Schizosaccharomyces pombe: one gene and its partners. Changing the gene in region 3 together with the main gene of any one other region gives a genetic interaction. Each region holds a gene or a part of one and is shown on either strand. Other genes may lie near its edges.

Region 1 (5,051 bases), on a different chromosome or scaffold from region 3:
ACGAAGAAAAATTGCAATTTTTTGATGAAATTGTGCTGTGATCTGTTTCCTTAATTTTTGTTCTCTTTAATCTCAACAATCTATTGAATACTAAGTTTAAGTATGGTTGTTTATTCTTTTAATCCTAGTCATGGTTACTCATTAATATTCGTTTTTCAATTAATTGAAAAGTTACTTATTTAATTGAGAACGTAAAAACATAATCATCAAGCATTTTTCTTCAACATTTACTTAAGTTACCCTTGACATTGTCCTCACTTATTAATATGTATGTCGTCAAAGCATATAGGTCCAAGTGGTTCACCATTTATTTCTAATTTTTTATTTAATTATTTCTTTTGATTGTGACTACTGCGACACAATAAATAAACAATTGTCTAGTCCAACTAGACCCTTAAATACTTTCTGTATCAGTGATCATTGTAGCTGCGTTACTTAATCTTTCGTATATATTTCTAGTATTTCTGACTGTACATATCACTAATTACATTCCTTAATTTTACTAATAACTAATTTGCCTAATAACATGTGTATAGTTTATTATTGCAATAAAATTTATTAATTTGCTCTAGCGCGCATCCTATTATTACAAATTGCAGAATCGTAAACCTTTTCCTAAAGAAATATTACCCAAGAACCACAATCCAACAAAAGAGAGACACTAACCTATTTCCAAGTTCTCTCGAAAAAAAGAAACACAGACTCGTAAAAAAAGATCCATCATTGATTTTTAAAATCATGAGCTCAAAGCCTGTAGAAATTTTCAACATATCAATAGATATATATAAAATATGTATAATATATGTCATTTTGTATGCCCGTCGTATTCGTACATCCATTTCGTCAATGCAAATGTTTCAAATATGCATATTCTATTTAAAAAGTCCCGTGAATAAATCATGCACGCATTGACTTCTGAAACTTTCGCCTCATCTTATTATGCAATAAAACACAACACCGCATACTAAATTTTGCCGGATCGTTTTTACATAACGCTTCCACAACCGCAACGATTAAAAAGCACACCCAATGAGCATCCGTCCAAGCCCAGCTTAAAAATGAAAAAAACCGGACCTAAACAAAAGACGTTTCGTGCAACTCACTCAATCACAGTTAATTAAAGCCAAATATTTCGCCCTTTCTGACATCCTCGCGCTTTGCAAATGTCAGCAAAACAATGGACACAATACTTCGGCCTCTGACTAAAGGAAATCATCAGAAGCCTGTGCATAACACAGATGCACGTAACCCAATAAAAATATTTTTTTAGGAAATTTACCACCAGGATTGAGCACTACCACTGTTGTAAGTGTTACCATGATGAGGAGTACGGCTTTCAAAGCCACCGTATCCAGAGTAGCTAGGGCCAGAGCTATAACCACTACTACTATTAGTAGGGCGACGGAAGTCGCGAGCACCATAAGCATTGCCTCCACGACCACCACGACCACTGTAACGGCCACCACGTCCATTACCACCAAAGCTGCTTTCACGAGCCATGGCGATCAAAAAGCTGGGGCACTCTTGATTGGCCTCTTGCAACAACTCAATCAATTCCTTAGCGATACCCTTGTTGTTACGGTTGAAAAACGCAACAGCTTGACCAGTGTTACCAGCACGACCGGTACGACCAATTCTATGCACATAGTCATCAATGTCAGTAGGTAAATCGTAGTTAATAACATGCGTGACATTGGGAATATCTAAACCACGACTGGCGACGGCAGTAGCGACCATAATGGAAGTACGGCCAGAGCGGAACAATTCCAAAGCGCGCTCACGCTCACGTTGGGTACGGTCACCGTGAATGCTTGTTGCGGGGAAGTTGCTATTCAACAAATAGTCGGTAAGTGTGTCAGCCATGCGTTTAGTCTCTACAAAGATCAAGGTAAGACCCTCAGGAGGTAAGGTGTGAAGAATATCAAGCAAGTAACTACGCTTTTCAGAATCTTCAACGTGTACGACCTTTTGAGTAATATTCTCCGAAGTGGAACCGACACGACCAACACTCAAGAAGACATAATCCTTTAAAAAGTCACGAGCTAAAAGTTGGATATCACGGGGGAAAGTGGCAGAAAACATGAGAGTTTGACGTTCTTCAACGCTTGTCATGTCAGCACCTTCCACAATGTGACGAATTTGAGGCTCGAAACCCATATCCAGCATACGATCAGCTTCATCCAACACCAAAAACTTAATGTTGGCCAAAGAAATACGACCACGATCGATTAAATCAACCAAACGACCAGGAGTAGCAGAAAGCAAGTCGCAACCTTGGTCAATTTGGCGGATTTGAGCACGAATATCGGCACCACCGTAAACAGCACAGGGACGCACCCAAGAACGGTAACAGAATTTACGAGATTCCTCATGAATTTGACAAACTAATTCACGAGTGGGAGCCAAAATAAGGGTGGTAGGATAGGCTTTGCGAGGACGATAACCCATACCGGCATCCTGATCAACAGGAACAGCGGCAGGTCCTTTATCGAAAGCAAGAGAAAGAATAGGGAATAAGAAACCAGCAGTCTTACCGGAACCGGTTTGGGCACAGGCCATCAAATCACGTCCGGATGTGACAATAGGAATGGAGTTCTTTTGAACTGGGGTGGGCTGAGTGTAGCCAGAGAGTTTAATGTTTTGAAGAAGATGAGAGTTCAAAGGAGGAGAAGTGAACTCATTAACAGGCTCGATATCTCCACCGGAAACTTCAACAGGGATGTCATCATACTTTTCGAAGTTAATACCAGTTGAAACTTTGGTACCATCAGCAACGGCACCAAATAATTGACGCTCCAAAAGAGTGTTACGGGCTCCGATAACGTGTTGACCATCTCTCCATTGGCCAAATCCACGGTTGTTACGATAACCACCGCCGTTGCTGTAACCACCTTCACGACCGCCACGGTAATTATTTTGGCGGCCCTCGCCACCACCATAATGACCGCCACGATTGTATTCACGGCGACCTCCATAGTTAGAGGAAAACTCACTAGGAGTTTGAGACCTAGAAGAGCCACGAGATGAGACAGACTCATCGTCGCCAACAGCTGGAGCTGCGCCAGCGCTTGGCTTATCCCTAGCAAAAGGAGGAATATACTTCCTAGGTCTGCTGATGTTTGTTTTTTGCAATTTTTCAGTCACAGAACCAACTGAATCTACTTGTTGCTGTACATTGTCGCTCATAATATTTTTTGTATTTCTGAGTTGAAGTGTTTGGTTGAGGTTAGGTTAAGTTGGCCATTAAATGCTACCAAATACACGATGGGACTGCCCTTTTTAACCCCTCAGCAAATTAGATATGTCAACGAAAACAATTTTTAACAAGGATAAAAAGTCATTTAAACAATTTAAAATTATTTTTTAGTTAATTTTGATACCAATATGTATGGGTATTAATAGTTTTTTTGAAACCTTAAGTCAGTACACGTGCTATCATCTGACTACGTTAAAGAATAAAAATTAATTGAAAGGTTTTACTATATAAATATATTTATAATCTATATAACTAAACATTTAGGCACCGTAATGTAGGTACACGATTGCCACTCACCAAAACTAAAAACCACCGTTATGCTCGTCTCTAAATAGCAGACTTAGTATACATATTAATCATTTTAATTGGAATAAGAAAATTCAACTTTCAAATTTACAATTATTAGCATACAGTTTGCTTTCTGTTTAAGGTCGTAGTGATATTCAGGAGTACCAGCCATGGTTTTGCTGTCTTCCCATACCAACCAATACTACAAAATATAGAAATTGATATTTTTATTGTGCCTTGCAACTTAAGAAATTGCTAAAACCTTTAGGCAGAAGCTTTGTAAGCGGTGCTGTGCATTAAAACCGTATTTATTCGACAAATCCGAACATATTTATCTATATTGAAGAAGTCCAAAGAAAATCACATTTGTTAAGATTATTAGATACGACATAATTAAAAGCGTTTTTCAAAATGATTGTCCTTAATGCTCTGTCGTACTTGGGTATCGTTTTGGGATTCATAGGCATGACCGTGAGTATCGCATCAGCTTTGTATTACATTTCAGAGTTTGTAGAAGAGCACTCTAGGCTCGCAAAGGCGTTTTTATGTCGGTTGGTTTATTTTATTATGGCGGTAATGGTGTTTTTGGTTATATTTGATGGTTTTCCTTTTTGGCTCTCGGCATTCTCCATTTTCAGTCATTACATTTATAAAATCAACTTTGATACCTTTCCTTTCTTCTCATTTAAGAGAATGAGATTTTTGCTAGCATGTTTCCTTATTGTCGCGAATCATATCTTATGGGTCCGCTTTTTCCAGGTGCATGAATTCCCTATTAAACCTCGTGGACTCACTTACGATTTTGTTGGTCAACGCCTTTTGACCTCTCGTGCTTCCTTTTCACAAGTTGCTTCATTTATGGGGGTATGCGTATGGTCTGTTCCTATTGGTATTTTTGTTTCCTTTACCGCTGCTGACAATACACTTCCTACCATTACAACCCCGTCTTCCTCGTCCCCTGATGCTTATTCTTCTGGATCATCTCGTCGGACGTCGAATGTACTTCGACAAGCTTATAAAAAGTTAGGTATCTTCGTCGAACGTAGTCTTACCTCTTTGGGGTTGAGTGATCGTTCAAGTGAACGTTACGTCTGAGTTGAGTTTGAGGGATGCTTGTCTTTTTAAATTAAGGATTCGTTTAACTTTACTGTAATGTCTGTACTTCTTATGTGATCATTTACTCACAACATGTTGCATCTCTTTTTTTTTTCGACTTTTATTTTGTATATAGTTTTCTTCATACTTTCTTCATCAACACTTTAACTTTTTCTCGGTCAGTTTGAGCGAACAAAATTATCCTTCTTTTACGTTTTGTCGTTGTTCTTTAGGATTGCCTATTGTTATTTTTTTCAACATGGAAATTGTATTGTCAATTTGACTTAAATTTCATCTCGGACGTGTAGAAAATGCATTTAAAGGAAATAGATGACGCCTTTTCATATTCATATGAAACGGAGTTTTTTACGTCTTGTTCATAACGATTTTATCAATAAAAATTAACATGATA
Region 2 (5,528 bases), on a different chromosome or scaffold from region 3:
CTGGTACATCCTGCACTAAATGCGATTTTAGTAACACCAGTTTGTCCTCATACGCTTTCTTTCCGTCCTATTATTTTACCAGATTACAATGTTTTGAACGTTGAGATCCCTTTGGATTCTCGAAGTAGTGCATTCTTTTCCGTTGACCGTCATGAATCTGTGGAGATGCATAGAGGCGACTATTTATCAATTGTTACGTCTCATTACCCTTTCACAACCATTCAAAATCCAGGATACCAATGGACCAAGGTATTAGAAGATAAATTCAATTGGAATGTGCGTGAGCGTCAAAAGCCCTTTTCTAGAAAACCAAGCTTGAGTGATGTTAAGGATACAAGTGACGATAAATTTGATATTACAGATAATTCCTATTGCAGAGAATTTTCTGCAGACATTGATGGTTAAATTGCTATCCATTTTTCTTTTAATGACATCTGACTACTGTTGAAAATACTTAAAATTAGGCACACACTGCCTCTACGAATCATGGCGAATTATTGGTTACGATTGTTTAGATATCTGTTAGTTTTTTGAAAGTTTATGTTAATTATTATTATTATTATTATTTCAACTTTGGTATTAACGAATTTATATTCATAATGTTTACTCATTGTTCAGTTCATACTCAAAAGCCGAAAAAAAAAAGAAAAATGAATGTTAAGGATCCCTCGATAAATATGTAAAATATTTTTATAACAAAAAGAACGTGTGTATATATAACAAGAAAGACATTCGTATTATGCTCTGTAGTCTTTGATTTTCAACAACGACCTATGGTTTATGGCTCATGAATAATACCAGCTTATTCGCTAAAAAATTAATCAGTCTGTGCAATTGAACGTACAATGCGATGTCCAGCACTGGTAATAACCTTAATACGTCCTCGCCTTTCCAAAGCACCCAGACAAGCTTCGAAATCAGAAGCATCTAAGCGAGTAGAACTCTGCTCACGAAACCGAGTTAACAATTGACTGACCAACATAGTTTTTCCACCCACAGTTAAATTTGAAATTAAATTCGCCAGTTCTTTGACCATATCTTCAGGTACCAAAGTCTCTCTTTCATTAACATAAATTAGGTCAAGAGAAATCTTTCCTGTTGCAGGATCAGTTGCATAATCCTTAATAGCGGTCTTAATCAAGCGAGCAGCTTCAAGAACATCTCCTACCTCAACAACGTTGCGAAGATGCATTTTCGCATGGGCCTCAGATAGACGAATCATTGATTCCAGTTGTCTTGTTGTAGCAGTAATTCTTTTCTCAGATGCTCGCACATCCTCCCCAAGCTTTCGCATACCAACATAAGCATTCACTAGTTCCTTTGCTGCCTCTTCACTAATGACAGGATTAATATTATTTCTAGCATATGTGATATAGCTTGTCAAAAATTCCACACTAAAGACCTCCATATCTGTAGCATGTTCAGGAGTATCTTCCATGTACATAGAAACAATATGATTTGCGAGCTTCCTATCCAGCGTTTCATCCACGCGGTCTAATATTAAATACACCAAATCAAATCTAGATAAGAGAGTAGGCGGAAGATCAATATTTTTGGTGACAGGCAAGTCTGGATTGTATTTGCTTCCAATTGGATTTGCACTAGCTAAAATAGAAGTCCTAGCGTTCAAAGTAGTAATAATGCCAGCCTTGGCAACTGTAACGGTTTGCTGCTCCATAACTTCATGAAGAATAGAACGTGTAGCATCGGACATTTTGTCAAACTCATCAATGCAGCAAATGCCCCCATCTGACAGTACCAAAGCACCACTTTCCAAGACTAGTTGCTTCGTGTCTTGGTCACGAGTAATATAGGCAGTTAAACCAACAGCAGATGAACCCTTGCCACTAGTGTAAACACCTCTGGGTGCTATCTTATGGACATACTTCAAAATTTGAGACTTAGACGTAGATGGATCACCACACATCAAGATATTTATGTCTCCACGATATCTCGGACTTGCGCCTTTATGAAAAGACTTGTTCGTTCCACCAAATAGCTGTAGCAAAAGCCCCTTTTTAACATCATCCATTTCGTAAATGCTAGGTGCCAGAGACCGGGAAAGAATATCGTATATATCGTCCCGCTTTGAAACTTGTTGAATTTTTTCCACTTCTTCGTCTGATATTTTCCGTACTTCATCAATTTGTAAAGCAGCATCTTCAGCAATATCGCTTTCCAACGTAGAAGGATCCGTACCCAAACGACGTTTGTCCTGCTTTTTTATGTGAACAACGTCGACATAAGTTTTAAATAATGATTTTACAGTACGCATGCGAGGGTTCAAACGAACTGGTACACAGCGAAAAATCCCAGTGACTTCTATACGATCTCCTGCTCTAGCAGAGTCAACCAGTTCATCATATACGCACAGACTTACAGAGTGTGGGGTTTGGCCATCCGGTACCACGTCAGGTGTCTCTTGGAGTTTAATAACTTGCTTATCGGCGAATTCAGAACGATTATGAATTAGCTGCATTGCATTTGTAGCACCACAGACTTCTCTAGGGCATTTTATGGGCTCAGCAATTCGCCCTCTATCGATTTCCACGGTAACACAATGACCACAAACTGAACATCGAAAAAATGCTTGCTTCATGTCGGGTATTACAGGTGTACACCTAAGTACCAGACCTTTAATAGAGATCAATTTGTCAATGTCACCAGGATTAAGATCACGCATATTAATGCATTTTTCAAGATTAAAAGGACGAATTTTGTAAATTTTAAGCTCAATGTCATTAAGAACATCTTCGGGAGGATTAGTTCCTAACAAGTCTAGCATAACGTCTTTAATGGTTTGATCCATGATAGGAATGATTTCTTGAGGGTATGAGTAAAGCTGGTGATATAGCTTCTTGGTTGGGGGATAATGCTTTAAATCCTGAACATCAAGATTTAATATTTCCAAACCCATAATACGCATGTTTCGTAGCGCTTCAATATACACTAGTTGTTCGGCATCAGGAGGTGGCATAAGTTCATTTCTGTATTCAGGTCGATACTTTTTCTTAAACCCACGTAGAAATCCACGAAAGGAAGCGATACTTTCTTGAATAGATACATTTGTTCCCCAAATGACACGGACAGTGTCATCAGCTACTTCACTGCTTGGGTGCGCCTGACTAAACGTGAGTGCATCTGACCCAGAAAACAACAAGCTACTAGGAGTGCTTACCCCGGGACGTTGAGGGTCAACTTCTCTTCGACGAGATGGGGTAGACATTTGCACGCTAGAATGGATGTCTCCACGTCTTGTCGAGCGCGGTGTTCTCTGCGAACTACTGTCAAGGAACAAGTCATTACGCTGAGATAAAAGATGAGAACGTGAACTCTGAGGAATGTTTGGACCTGGTGAACTAGATTCAAACAGTAAAGGAGAGGAAGCGAGAGGTGTACGCGCTGTAGTCCTCGGTGTTGTAAGGCGTGTAGAACCAGGAGACGAAGCAGGAAAAAATAACGGAGAAGAATCCACTGCTTCTCTTGAAGAGCTGTTAGCTCTTCCAGGAGTCCTCAACTCATTGGCTCTGCCACTTTGCTGACTAGAGGACATGACTCGTGGTGGGTGTAGAAAGACAGTGTAAGGGAGTAGAGTAACTACTCATAAACATACAACAATGAAGAGATAAATAGCATAGCAAAGATTTAAATAATTGGAAATTTGTATAATTTTTTAACAATTTGTCATATTCTCCATTGATCATCAAGCTACCAGTAATTGACTATGAAAATGTAAACTAAAAAACTTTGCGACACTAGATATTAGGATCAATTAAAGCAAATTTGTTATCATAAATAAGGTATTATGAATTTGTTATTGACTTACTTCCTTTTAAGTGATATTCTATTTTTTTGGACGAATGAAGAGAAATATGAAAAGAATGTTGAAATAAAGGATTACATTGCTTTAATTAAACGTTATGCTAGTTTAACATTTTGAGATGATCGTTTTTGCAATTTGGAACTACCAGTTGTATTTGAAGGTCGAATCTATTAACTGTGATTTGACGCTAATTGAAGAGGGCAGATGGTGATTTAGTAATTTTACTAATAATATTTCTTAAAATAAGGTTTATTTTGAATTTTCTCTCATATTGAATACCTGAGTTGTTATTATATTAACCATTTGTAGAGTTCATTTGACCATTCGACTACTGGACTGTCTCTAATAAAAAAAACTTAAGTCTGTATATTATGAGTTATATGGTGTGAATTTCAAATAGTGTATGAATGTATTTTTCTATTATTTCTAGTGAAATACCATTGTGTAGGACGCATACTTTTTCTCGATTATGTTTTGCTCTTCAAAACCTGAAAGGATTATAGACATTTATTGTATCTTGATTTTCTTCTATGTATAATTGGTGAAAACTGGTTTATTCTGTTTTACTATTGATGCCATTAACGATGATACAAAAATTGGCTTATGTCTTTTCAAGGCCCTTTAAGAGATGAATTCCACTGCATAGTGGAACGTTCCTTTTCCTTTTAAAGTGTAGTATTAATTTGCTATTAAAACATCTTTTTAGGCGAAACCATCAAATGCGGCTTGATAAATCAGCTTCAAATATTAGAGCAGTTAACCACCTAAAAAGATTGTCTATTACATGATAAAAGATGATTATAGTGGCGACAATTAGAAAATTAAATGATTTTGAGAAATCATGTCTATAGACATGATACGTTTGTGTGGATTACTTTGCTCACTTGCACTGTGTACACTGCATACTCAACTATACCACAACAATTCACAAGGTCAATAATCGTGAGCTTTTGAGTTGACAAAAAATAAATTACAAATGGAATCAGTTTTTGGAAGAGTAAGAAACGAGACTAGCGAGAGAGGAAAGTATGGATTAGTCTCCGTAAAAGCTGGAAAACTTCAAAGAAAGCCAGGAACGAATATTCTGCAAGCTGATCACCGAAAAGGGTATGTACTATAATAATAATATAGATAGTAGTCCTTTCTACTGGGAAAACGAAATTCTACCCAAAGAATTGTTTATGAAGCTTCTTTGCATGTTTACGTTGGAAGGATGCGTGAAAATCCACACTGTTGGGTTTTGTGGAATTGTTTTCTGTTTATAAAGTTAAAAGATCTGATTTTTAATACTGACATTTGTTTAGAGTTATCTATATGCAAATGGCTTCTGATGAATTATTGCATTTCTATTGGAAAGAAAGGGCCAGGGTTTCTAGAGAAGTAGAAGATGTATGAAGACAATTTAAATCAATTGCAAAGTATACCTATTTATATATATAAATTTACTTTTGCGTTTTTTTTTTTTTAATTTGGTTTATGTTTACTAACATATAATGAAGGACTACATCATATTTCCAGAAGAAGCAGAGTTTATCAAAATTGATGAATGTACCACGGGACGCGTATATGCACTAAAATTTAAATCCTCTTCGCAGATTCATTTTTACTGGATGCAGGAGTATAGTGATGAAAAAGACAAGGAAACAGCTTCCTTAATCAATCAATTAATTGCTGACCCTGTGAATACGACTCGGACTATCAACTC
Region 3 (4,382 bases):
GTGCATTGAATTGTTCCAAAATGTCATAAAAGGGACTTTTTCGAAATCGTATTCGCGAATGAACAACTGGGGCGAAAGGACGGCTGTATGATCTATTTCCAGAAGCTGAACTAGGTGGAGCAATTGGAGCAGCAGCACTATATATCTGATATGTGTTGTACTTTAAGATACATACGGCACTTGTAACATCGCCATCGATTGCCTTTTTCAATGCTTCCCAAGAGGTTGTGTTGTTTTCTATAGCTATCCTCTCTATTAGTTGTTTAATTCTGGTAATGAGCTCAGCTTTTGTTCCTGAAAGACGAAGTCCAAAAACACGAAGTATATCTTTCAGTTGAGGTATAATAAGACCAGTTTCCAGTCGCTTTAGTACATTCTAAACATTCATTTTGTTAGTTAACTTGTAAATATCTTATTATTGGGCTTACTGGAAGCTCCTGTAAAAAGTTCGCCTGGTTCATTGAGTTTTTAGACTGCTTGCCTAAACCGTCGATTTACACATATGTTATATGCAATGACTGCTTCCGTATAGGTATTTGAAAGACAAAGAAATCAAATTTTAGCTAAAAATACAATGAATTATATTTATTCCTTGAATCTCTGCAAACGCCTGGTTGGCAAAACTTGAATTTAATATTTGAAGATAAGGAAGTATATGGCAGTGCGGTATGTGATAATGTAAGAAAACAAAAAAAAAACGGGCAAGTGAGCTTTACTTGTAGTAATAATTAAATAACAATATAAATGAACTTTTGATGAATTTGATCGAATGAATGAGGAAATTAACTTGGAAATTCCAAAAAGACATGAAAAGTAATTTCTAACATTGGTTAAATGATGTTGATTATAAGAAAATATGCGATCAATCAGTTGACAGTCCAATGATTGATTAGACTACGGGCAGCCTCAAAATCAATTCTTGAAACCAGTTGACGACCGAAACTCTTCGCGTAGAGACGAGAGCAATTGATCTGTAATGAAAGTGTTTTTTCATTGATTTCTTTATTATATTGACGGGAGCTCACATATGTAGATTGAATATAATCCAGCATGTTTTCGGGAATATTAGCACGCATGTTCCACATGTGAAAAAAATTACAAAACTCTTGCAGCTCATCCGAATCAGTTGGAAATTCAATAGTGTCCGGAGAATCGCCTCTACATCTACAACCGACATCAGCTGGCAAAATAGATCTTCCATGGCTTAATATAATTATTCGAACATTACTGTGAACGGTAAAAGAACTGAAAGGATAAAAAAATGTTAAATCCTGTTGAGATATTAGGGAAGACAAAAACTGAACGTTACGGCATCCGACATCGTTTAAGGTTCCACTCGATAGTTCAGTTTCATCAAGAACTATAAGGGTGCCAGGAGCCACTTGCAAATGGCTAGTATCTAATGTCTCTCCATCACTCAAGGGATAAAGCGGCTTCCTGTTAAGCTCGGCGACATTAACTTTTTGAATCACCATTCTTTTTATCAAAGGCCGTAACACAGAAACTAACTGGGACACTAATTCAGAGGTGCAATTTGTTAAATTTAAAGTAAAACCACCTATAACCAAACCAGTGGTTTTATGAACAACGTTGGAAAGAAGAGCAAGCATAAGACTTTCCGCAGCTATATTTTCACCAAGGACTTTTTCAAAATATTTTAATATTTTTGGTCGAATGATCTCAGCTTGCTGAGGAGAAGGGGCTTGAGTAGCTGATTGCGTATAATCCTTAAAACATAACATGTGTAAAATGGGTAAACCATCCGAGTATTCACTTGGTTCTTCATAAATTCCAATAACATCGATTGCTTGACAAACTTGAACTTTAGTTTCCATTCCGCCATAGCATTTAACACAAACGCCGGTATCATTACTTGCTTGTAAGCGGTTTGAGTACTTCAATGACCGTTCTTTCAGACTCTCGCTTCCCCAGTTTCCCAAAGCTTCTATAACAGGAAGAGTTCTTTCTCCAGGAACATTTGTCAGAAACAGTGAATATCTTTCATCTAGGACAATTTTAGATTCATCTAAATGCATTTCATCTTCGCTGAAATCAAGTATGTATCTACAGCCTCTCCAAATGTTTTCATTTACCTCTACAGCTCCAGCAAAAAATTCATGCCCAAAATTGGTGTCTTGCACCATACCTTGAAGACGAAGTAGTTGACCAGTCTTTAACTCAGACCATTTGCAGTCAAGATAGTTTGGAATCTAAATATTCAGTGTCAAATAAGAGAAAAAACCACTTAACAAACCTTTCTTATTCTTTCCTCTGTAGCGAAAATATTAGAAACTTCTTCATCGATGCCTAAAGTGCCTTGTAAATCGGGCTTAGATCCTGCAAACAATGCATCCTGAAATCTTTGAAGAAACGATCTTGGATTTTCGATAAAAGAATCAGATAAAGCAATTACCATATTATAAATATATAATTTTATCCTTTAAACCTATTGAAACCAGTAATGATAAAAGATGTTGATATTGCAATGTGCAATGTTCATTTCACGTGAGCGGATTGACTTTAAGTACCCTTTTCTATGGCGTTGCATATACCTAACGATGTACTAATTGCTGTATAAATTCGCTTAATAAGAAGCTTAATTTATTAAGAAACAGAAGGCGTGAATTTAAAGAGTTATCTATTGCTTATTACTACTCTTAAAAGAGAAAAATATTAGAATTTTACAGATTATTGATCGTTTTTGTAATAATATAAATATATTGATGTGCTTGTTTTCATCATTTGTGTCGATTGTACAAACATATATTTTAAAGCTAGCTTTGATAGTGCATTTAAGAATAAAAAAAATTTTCAGATTTACATATTAATGCTCTTTTCTATTCGCGATGGGTGAAGTGACTACCATGCAGTGGTTAAAATACTCAACAAATTTACTAGTTCACTGGAACTCAGTACTGATGTTACTAGTTCAATAACACTGAATATGAGTAATGCAGTATCATCATCAGTATTTGGAGAGAAAAATAACTCTGTAGCTTATGAGCTGCCATGGTATGTATATATTATGAGCAATTAAAACGTCCTTTATGAAGGTTTTAGTGTTCAGCTATTACGATTGCTTCTTGGTGACTCAGGCATCTTTTCATAATTTAAAGGTTCAATATAATATAGTATGCTGATCTATAAACTTATAGGGTCGAAAAGTATCGTCCAATCGTCCTGGATGACATTGTTGGTAACGAGGAGACGATTGACCGACTTAAAGTTATTGCCAAGGAAGGGAATATGCCTCATCTAGTTATTTCGGTAACCTATTTTTTTTTAATTATTATTTATACTACATGCTGACTTATATTTATAGGGAATGCCTGGTATCGGAAAAACGACGTCTATTCTTTGTTTAGCACATGCATTACTTGGCCCAGCATATAAGGAAGGTGTATTAGAATTAAATGCTTCAGATGAACGAGGTATCGATGTAGTGAGAAATAGAATTAAAGCATTCGCACAGAAAAAAGTCATACTGCCACCTGGAAGGCATAAGATCATTATTTTAGACGAAGCAGATAGTATGACGGCTGGAGCTCAACAAGCTTTGCGTAGAACTATGGAAATCTACAGTAATACAACGCGTTTTGCACTTGCTTGCAATCAATCCAACAAAATTATTGAACCTATTCAATCGCGGTGTGCAATTCTCCGATACTCACGTCTTACGGATCAACAGGTTTTACAGCGTTTATTGAATATATGTAAAGCGGAAAAAGTCAATTATACAGATGATGGTTTGGCTGCCCTTATCATGACAGCAGAAGGTGATATGCGTCAAGCAGTGAACAATCTACAGAGCACTGTTGCTGGATTCGGTCTTGTGAACGGTGAAAACGTTTTCCGGGTCGCCGATCAGCCTTCACCTGTAGCGATACATGCCATGCTAACTGCTTGTCAATCTGGAAACATCGACGTCGCCCTTGAAAAACTTCAGGGAATATGGGATTTGGGGTTCAGTGCTGTGGACATTGTCACTAATATGTTTAGAGTAGTAAAGACAATGGACAGTATTCCGGAATTTTCAAGATTAGAAATGCTTAAGGAAATTGGCCAAACTCATATGATTATTTTAGAGGGTGTGCAAACCTTGTTGCAGTTAAGTGGTTTAGTATGTCGCCTTGCTAAGTCACAGATGAAGCCGGAGTCTTTTATTATTTAGTTTAATGGCACCAGTCTTGGTTCAAAGTCTTGATGATTATTAAAATCAGTAATACCCCAAGTCATATAAAATATCAAAACCCCTAACAATAGTAACGTGTAATAAATCCTAGTCTGATTTCTGTTTCCAATTTTTCCGTACAAAGTTGGCAGCCCCATTGAATTACAAAAAGCATGTACTAAAAATGAAGGAAATAAGCTATGCGTGGAAA
Region 4 (6,485 bases), 1.9 Mb from region 3:
TCTCAAATGCCCTTTAGAAATGGTACTTCGAAGAGCACAAGCCCAGTATGAATGCAACCTTCCACCCCAAACTATCGTTCCCGTAGGCAAATACACTGGTATCGTCGGTACCATATGGTGTCTTTTAAGCGAAGAAGATCCGGGTAAATTTGGAATAGAAGGTTTGTATCGTGGATGGCGAGTGGGTATTTGGGGAATGTCGAGTACCTTAGCATTGAACTACATCTCCTCTAATTTGCGTGAAGAAGTTGAATTTTAGTATTCAGGTTTTGGGTCTGATTGTCTGTTTATTAGACAAAGTCAGAAGAGACGAAAGTTCACATGGTAAATTACGGAATTCTCAAAAAGGTTTTAGTTAGGTGATGTTTTGTAATTTGGAATTTTTTTTATTCCAAATTACTACACGAATAGTCATATTTGTAGTTGTAAGTTTGATTTATGTTTAATGTTTTCGTTTTTCTTTCTTACCGTATTCTCTAACGGAATAGTAGTAGCTACATAATTTATTAAAGGTAATAATACATTTTCTAGAAGCAAAAACGTAGTTATGTGAAAATACGTTGGTGTTTCCTTTAGCAAGGTTGCATAACGCCAGCATTCAATAAAAAGGACTTCAACGTCGCATTGAGATCTCTTACACGAGACTTCATAGTGTTATTCAAGTATAGCTGCTCGTTCAATTTATAAACAGTATAAAAAATGAGGCAACCCAAATCCTTACAATGCTTTAATTTTCTAATTTACAACACTGCACGGAAAGTTGAATCTCTAAAGACTTTATGCTTTTTTATTACTTTTTTATATAGTTTGAATTGCAATCAATAACAACTGGCGCCATCATTTTGCTATCTAACACGTTGAATTACGGGCCATGTCATGTCAAAAACCCTTCTTGCTTTTCAAAAAAAAAAAAAAGAAAAAAAAGGAATTAAGTAAACTTCTCAAGTAACAGGGATAAATAACATCCACAATTAAGTCAATAGTAAAAGATACCAAATATATAATTCCTTTCATATTTTAAAGTTCTAAGCTTAAATACGTTTTTGCTGAAGAATATCATAGTTCTTCCTCCTCCATAGTAGGCATATCGACAGGTTTGATCATACCAGGAACAGTCATAGCTTTCTCCAGTTGGGCTTTTTGTTGAGCAGCCAACTCTTGTTCTTTCTCCTCCAAGTAAAGTTCAGCGTTATCCCCGCCGAATTCTTTCAATTGAATTAAAAAGTCACGTAAAGCAAGTTTAAATTTGATGCTGTCCTGATTAAGAGCTAGCACTGTCTGTACAAATTCTTGGATTTGGATAGGTTGAAGATGGGGGAAAGCTGTGACTAGTAGATTCATGATATACTGTCTTAAAAATAATTGATTGTTCATTTCCTGGGGGAATTGAGAAGGATCGTAGAGAGGTACAGTAATCTGGTTTGATTCAACCAGATAGAAAAGCCGAGCCAAAATTAAGCTTTGAAGCTTAAAGCCAGATTTGTGATCAGAGTCAGTCAAAACATACAATATATCTTGTAGTAAGCTAATATAATAAGTTTGGAAAAATGCATTTGAAACATCAGGTCCCATACTCGCCATGTTATTAATAAGTTCAAGTAAGATGTTAAGTCCGGTTTCTTGAATGTCGCGACTAACATGCTTAAAGGACCATACAATACTATTGATCACTAGTTTGAATTGTGGTGCCGGGATGTTGAGCAAAGCGGGGAAACAATTCAAGTTAATGGCGCGTAAAAGTTGAAAAAATGCTGCACGATGTTCGGGGTATTCCGAAAAATCTTTACTAATCATTTCAAGGGTGCATCCAAAAACAGCATCAAGAACAAGAGGAATCTTATCAGTAAGGAGTTCGCTAAGTTGATTGACAATGGTGGTTATCAAATTAAGAACTTCGGCATCACGAGCGTCAGGAACATTTTGTAAATAATCAAGCAACACTGCTTCGAAAAGCGCAGGAATGAGAGTATTTCCGACCAACTCCAAATCTTCCGCTCGACTTATATAAGCATCTACTAATTTCAAAATTTCTTTTTTGATAGTTCGTAATCCCCTGACGTGGGGAGTTTTGGTAGCAATATTTCCTTGGGCAGCAACCACTTCTGATATTAAACCGCTAACAGCCTTGTAAAGACCAAGCATATCTACATAATTTTTAGCAATTTGAGGATAGAAACCGGAACCAATAGAAGTACATGCAGCAACGTTTGTCTTTAGAACATTTGCTAATATTTTAACGGTCTGAGGGTCCCCTAAAACTTGAGCGTTTTGTGCAGCCTGAGCGACAATATTTTCCCAGGCCTGATTGGGTAACGCCATAAGGTCAAAAATGAGACGTTCTTGAAGATGTTTTTGAGGTTGAGCAGAAATCATATAACCGCACGCCTCATAAAAAGTATGAGTCTGTTGAGGAGTTAAATCTTCAGTCGTCTTGGCCAAGTTACGAATAATTTCGTTGATAAACGGCTCCGTTTCTCCCAGTTGTTGAGCAACAAAATGGCGACGACATTTTTGAGCAATCTTAATGAATGTATCACAAGCCATATCCTGAACACCTTCATGATATTCGTGCATAAACTCAAATAGCTTATTGACGACGGTCTTGAGAAATTTCCAATGAGCTTTTAAAAAGCGAGGATATTGACCTACAACGTACATAATGTTAGAGGCAACAACAGCCTTATTATCTTTGCCACGTTTCATTTCACAAAGGCCCAATAAATCTTTAATCACGTTAACAAGAAAGCGCTTTTCCATTTCTTCATTCATAGCACCGGATATTGAGCCGATTGCCCAACAAAGAGTATTCAAATTTTGCCAAGACCATTCTGTACCAACAACAATACGTGCAAGTTTTTCAGTCATAACGATTTCAGTATCAACCACGTCCAAGTGAGTGAGGTACACAAGAACCTCACGCATAGATTTATAAAGGGTAATTGTATCCGTCTCTTTAACAAATTCACGAACAATTTCACCTTCGTCATTTTCGACGATGAGGACTTCTTCGGGCTTGACCATGTTTTCAATCATAACCAATCGAAGAGTTGAAAGTATATCTTTATAGATATGTTTCCTTAAAGGAAGATTGGCTAACATATTAGGATTAGAAGAAATGAGAGATGTAGGACTAGAAAGATTAAGTAATGGATTCATTTCAGACATGGGGATTTGCTGCATTTCTTCATAAAGCTGAGCTACTAATTTTGACCAATATTCCAGGCAGATCTTGAAAATTTCTCGCTCGTTAATTCGCGAGATATTAAGAAGGTAGGAATGAGCATTAAGAAGGACTTCTTGATTTTCAGGATTTTCTAATGGTCGAAGATGAGAGCTAAAGAAAGCGCAAAGGAAGAGAGCCAAATTTTGGATAAAGTCTTGCTCGTTTGTGCTACTTTCTTCATAAGCCTCACGAAAATCAGTTTGTAAAGGAAGCATAGAATTAACAGAGGTCATCACAAGGTTAAACATTGTAACAAATTTATCGTTGTACTGAGGTTGAGAAGTAAGACTAGCTATTTCGGTAAGACATTCAATGGTAACGTTTCTAAAATCAGGAACATTTAGGAATCGATTTGTAATTAACTCAACAATGTTTGTTTCAAATATATAGCCAAGGGGTATCCAATTCAAAAATCGGAGAAGTGTTCCCAAGGTAGCCTTGATTAGGCTAGGTTTTTGCGCACGTTCGAGAATTTGTGAGCATAGTTGAAAAATCTCGGCGAATTCGCCACACATTTGGTTTTTTAAATTTTTGGTTTTGAGCTGAGTCATTTGCTCAGCTGAGTAATCAAAAATTTCTTCACTCAGAAGACGAAGGACTATCATGTTATTTTCACAAAGTGAAAGGTTTGTTTTACTGGCTTGGACAATTTCCGGGATGAAGTTGGGCCAATTATGAGGCCATTCTTGTTTAAGAATCTGAACGAGAGTGAGGTCCAATTTATTAAGAAAAGTTTTTTGTTGTTGCAGGACAGTTTCGTCTGACGAGTTCTTTATCATAACAGCAACAATATAATTGCGAATTCCCAATCGCTGCTCCTTGGGAAGCATTTTCCAACGAGTGGTGATAAGCTTGTCAAGGACGGAAAGAGCGATATATTTAGTTTGGGGATATTCTGATTTTTCCAAGATGGAGTAAGCCTGCGACCATGCATCTGGATGTGCCTGAAATTGGGTCAGGACTTGTTGAGCCTGTTGTTGCTCTGCACCGACACCTTGGTAAAAGGTTTGGACAACACGATCCAAAAGGGCAACGTCTAATTCGCGATCGAATGCCAGGATGCCCTCCATATTTACAAATCAAAAAGCAAAAAATGTAAATTGATGGTTGGCAACGTATTGAACAAATGTCTTAAGTAAAAAGAAAAGGATAATTACCTCAACCTTATGCGATTGTATATGTATAAAGGACTTCAGCAATCAAGTTAGAAATTTGAAAAAAAAAATAAAAAAAAGTAGAAGAAAAATTAATTTTATCGAATAGAAACAAAATAATATAAATTTTTAATCTCCTACTTGCTGATTAATTACTCCTCCCTTGCAAAAATAATAGAGAAAAAACAATAATTAACTCAAACAAGAGATCGAAGAACAGGAAATCGAAAGATAACAAGATCCTTCCTAAAAGAAGACCAAGGAAAATAACACGTATCTACACGAGCGTTCAAAGTGCTTACCTCCTTACTATAAATAAAAACCAAATAAATATTCCAAATTCTCTTGTTTATAACGAAATTCCTCGTCCCAAGAGATGCTTCACGCGATAGAAATTTGTCTTGTACTCAATGGAAACAAGAGAATGAAAGAATGTATACAGTTAAAGGCTACTGCCTAACGTCCCAGGGTAGAAATGCAAAAGAACAAGTGTTGTGTTGGAGGTAAAAGGTGTGGCCGCAAGGCTGGCAAAGAAACACGAAGAAGAATAGCAAGCATGCAGCGTATCCAATCGTTTTGCGTTATCTATTTTAAGGAAATTTAACAACGTGATTATAGGCAGAAATTGATGGGAATGAAGTAAACATAAAATGGAACGAGAATGATGGCGATAAAACTGAGTGTATCAGCAGATTGCAATTTTTTAAAAAAATGGTATTAGTTTTGAAACAAAATTTACTTCCTCCGGTAAGACGTTCGGTCGTTTCCGTGAATGGGAGAAATGCGGTAAGAATTTGATCGTAACGTCCGCGTTTAAACCAGAAATAAATGTGTCGTACGTGGATTTTTCTGTTTGTTTGTTTTGAAGTATTTAGCAAAGACAGGTCATTTGAAAAACATCAATTTATTTTTTTAAATTTTTTTATTATGAATTATTAGGTATTTTATGGTTTAATTATCAATTTACAAGTCAACGAGTAAATCAAAACAGAAGGAAAGTTTATCATTCAGTAAATTAAAAATTGTTATGAATTTAAAAAAATTGAATTACAGCTAGAATCATGTTTCCAAATTATTTTAACCAAGTTTATGGAACATCGGCACGAAATAATATACTTATTACTAAAGATTTGCCATTTCATTGTGCTTTAGTAATTCGCCTTTTTTGCTTTAACTCCTATAGCCACACAACAAAGATGTTGCTTATGTAAATAAAGGCGACTTTCCGTATGAAATGCTTCGCGGTTACAGCCACAATTCTATATGGAAATAGAAAAGAATGAAAATTGAATTAAACTGATCATGTTCGTTATTAACTCGCAGTTACCCGACATTTAGTGTGTTAAATAAAGAAAAGGGAAGGAAAAAAAAATCATTAAACCAAATATTGACCTTTGGAGTTGGCATGGCTCTCAAGGTATAAAAAATCCAATGCATTTTTTTTAACTAATTTATACGATTTTAGTCAGGTTGTGTACATATACTCTAATAAACCCAGACAATTTACAGTACACGCAACTATTTTTATAGATATATACCTCTATTTAATTAGTTTGTACAATTAAGCGGCTATGCCCGAGTGGTCTAAGGGGGCAGATTTAAGAGGCTTCTGCCTTGATCCCTGCTGTTGTAAAACGCGAGAGTTCGAACCTCTCTGGCCGCATTATATTTTACATTTTTAAATGTAAAATTAACGTGTTTTTGATTTACAGTTGAACTAAATTTTTTTCAAATTTGTTGAACATTTTGCTTTTGTTTATTCTTTTTTTTTCTTCTTTTTCATTATTCTTATCTGCAACATTTCCTTATCAAGCACGAAGAAAATTTGAATTGATAGGCGCTTTCATCCGACCAGCACTGTCCTAAATATCGCATTTGTTTGCCAAAGCCCGTATATAAATTATGTATTTCGGTGACTTTTTGTAATACCGGTTTCTGCTTTTCTGTGATATGTTGAAGTAATAACATTTGTAGAAGTATTTATATAGACCATTTCTTACTTAATTCCCTGTAACAATTGTTGGATTCAATTCTGTGTTTTCCAATTACTCTGTTCTCACGGCTAATATTAATTTTATTACACATATATTCAGCAAAAAACAAAAACA

The links.
Region 1: of mcb1 (region 3) and sum3, a mutation in one rescues a mutant of the other (synthetic rescue), as found in Schizosaccharomyces pombe (one study listed by BioGRID).
Region 2: mutations in mcb1 (region 3) and mcm4 impair growth when combined (synthetic growth defect), as found in Schizosaccharomyces pombe (one study listed by BioGRID).
Region 4: of mcb1 (region 3) and crm1, changing one suppresses a phenotype caused by changing the other (phenotypic suppression), as found in Schizosaccharomyces pombe (one study listed by BioGRID).

The regions. Positions count from the first base shown.
Region 1 is NC_003421.2:973,486-978,536, forward strand, and holds sum3 (translation initiation RNA helicase Sum3), read right to left. Parts: upstream 3,229-5,051; 5' UTR 3,187-3,228; coding exon 1,276-3,186; 3' UTR 514-1,275; downstream 1-513. Other genes in the region: protein SVP26, read left to right, coding at 3,956-4,639. UniProt on the Schizosaccharomyces pombe protein: ATP-binding RNA helicase involved in translation initiation. Remodels RNA in response to ADP and ATP concentrations by facilitating disruption, but also formation of RNA duplexes. Inactivation of ded1 blocks mitotic cell cycle progression at G1 and G2/M.
Region 2 is NC_003421.2:898,427-903,954, reverse strand, and holds mcm4 (MCM complex subunit Mcm4/Cdc21), read right to left. Parts: upstream 3,568-5,528; 5' UTR 3,554-3,567; coding exon 818-3,553; 3' UTR 530-817; downstream 1-529. Other genes in the region: SPOM_SPCC24B10.02C (NAD/NADH kinase), read left to right, coding at 1-405; 19S proteasome regulatory subunit rpn1302, read left to right, coding at 4,800-4,930, 5,128-5,212, 5,323-5,528. UniProt on the Schizosaccharomyces pombe protein: Acts as a component of the mcm2-7 complex (mcm complex) which is the putative replicative helicase essential for 'once per cell cycle' DNA replication initiation and elongation in eukaryotic cells.
Region 3 is NC_003424.3:904,918-909,299, reverse strand, and holds mcb1 (mini-chromosome maintenance complex-binding protein mcb1), read right to left. Parts: upstream 2,504-4,382; 5' UTR 2,417-2,503; coding exon 2,255-2,416; exon of another isoform or gene 2,211-2,254; coding exon 867-2,210; 3' UTR 501-866; downstream 1-500. Other genes in the region: SUMO E3 ligase Pli1, read right to left, coding at 1-376, 429-461; DNA replication factor C complex subunit Rfc4, read left to right, coding at 2,945-3,012, 3,156-3,267, 3,323-4,171; rce1 (CAAX prenyl protease), read right to left, coding at 4,168-4,382.
Region 4 is NC_003424.3:2,802,316-2,808,800, reverse strand, and holds crm1 (karyopherin/importin beta family nuclear export signal receptor Crm1), read right to left. Parts: upstream 4,878-6,485; 5' UTR 4,680-4,877; intron 4,414-4,679; 5' UTR 4,294-4,413; coding exon 1,057-4,293; 3' UTR 548-1,056; downstream 1-547. Other genes in the region: transport protein Ugo1, read left to right, coding at 1-259.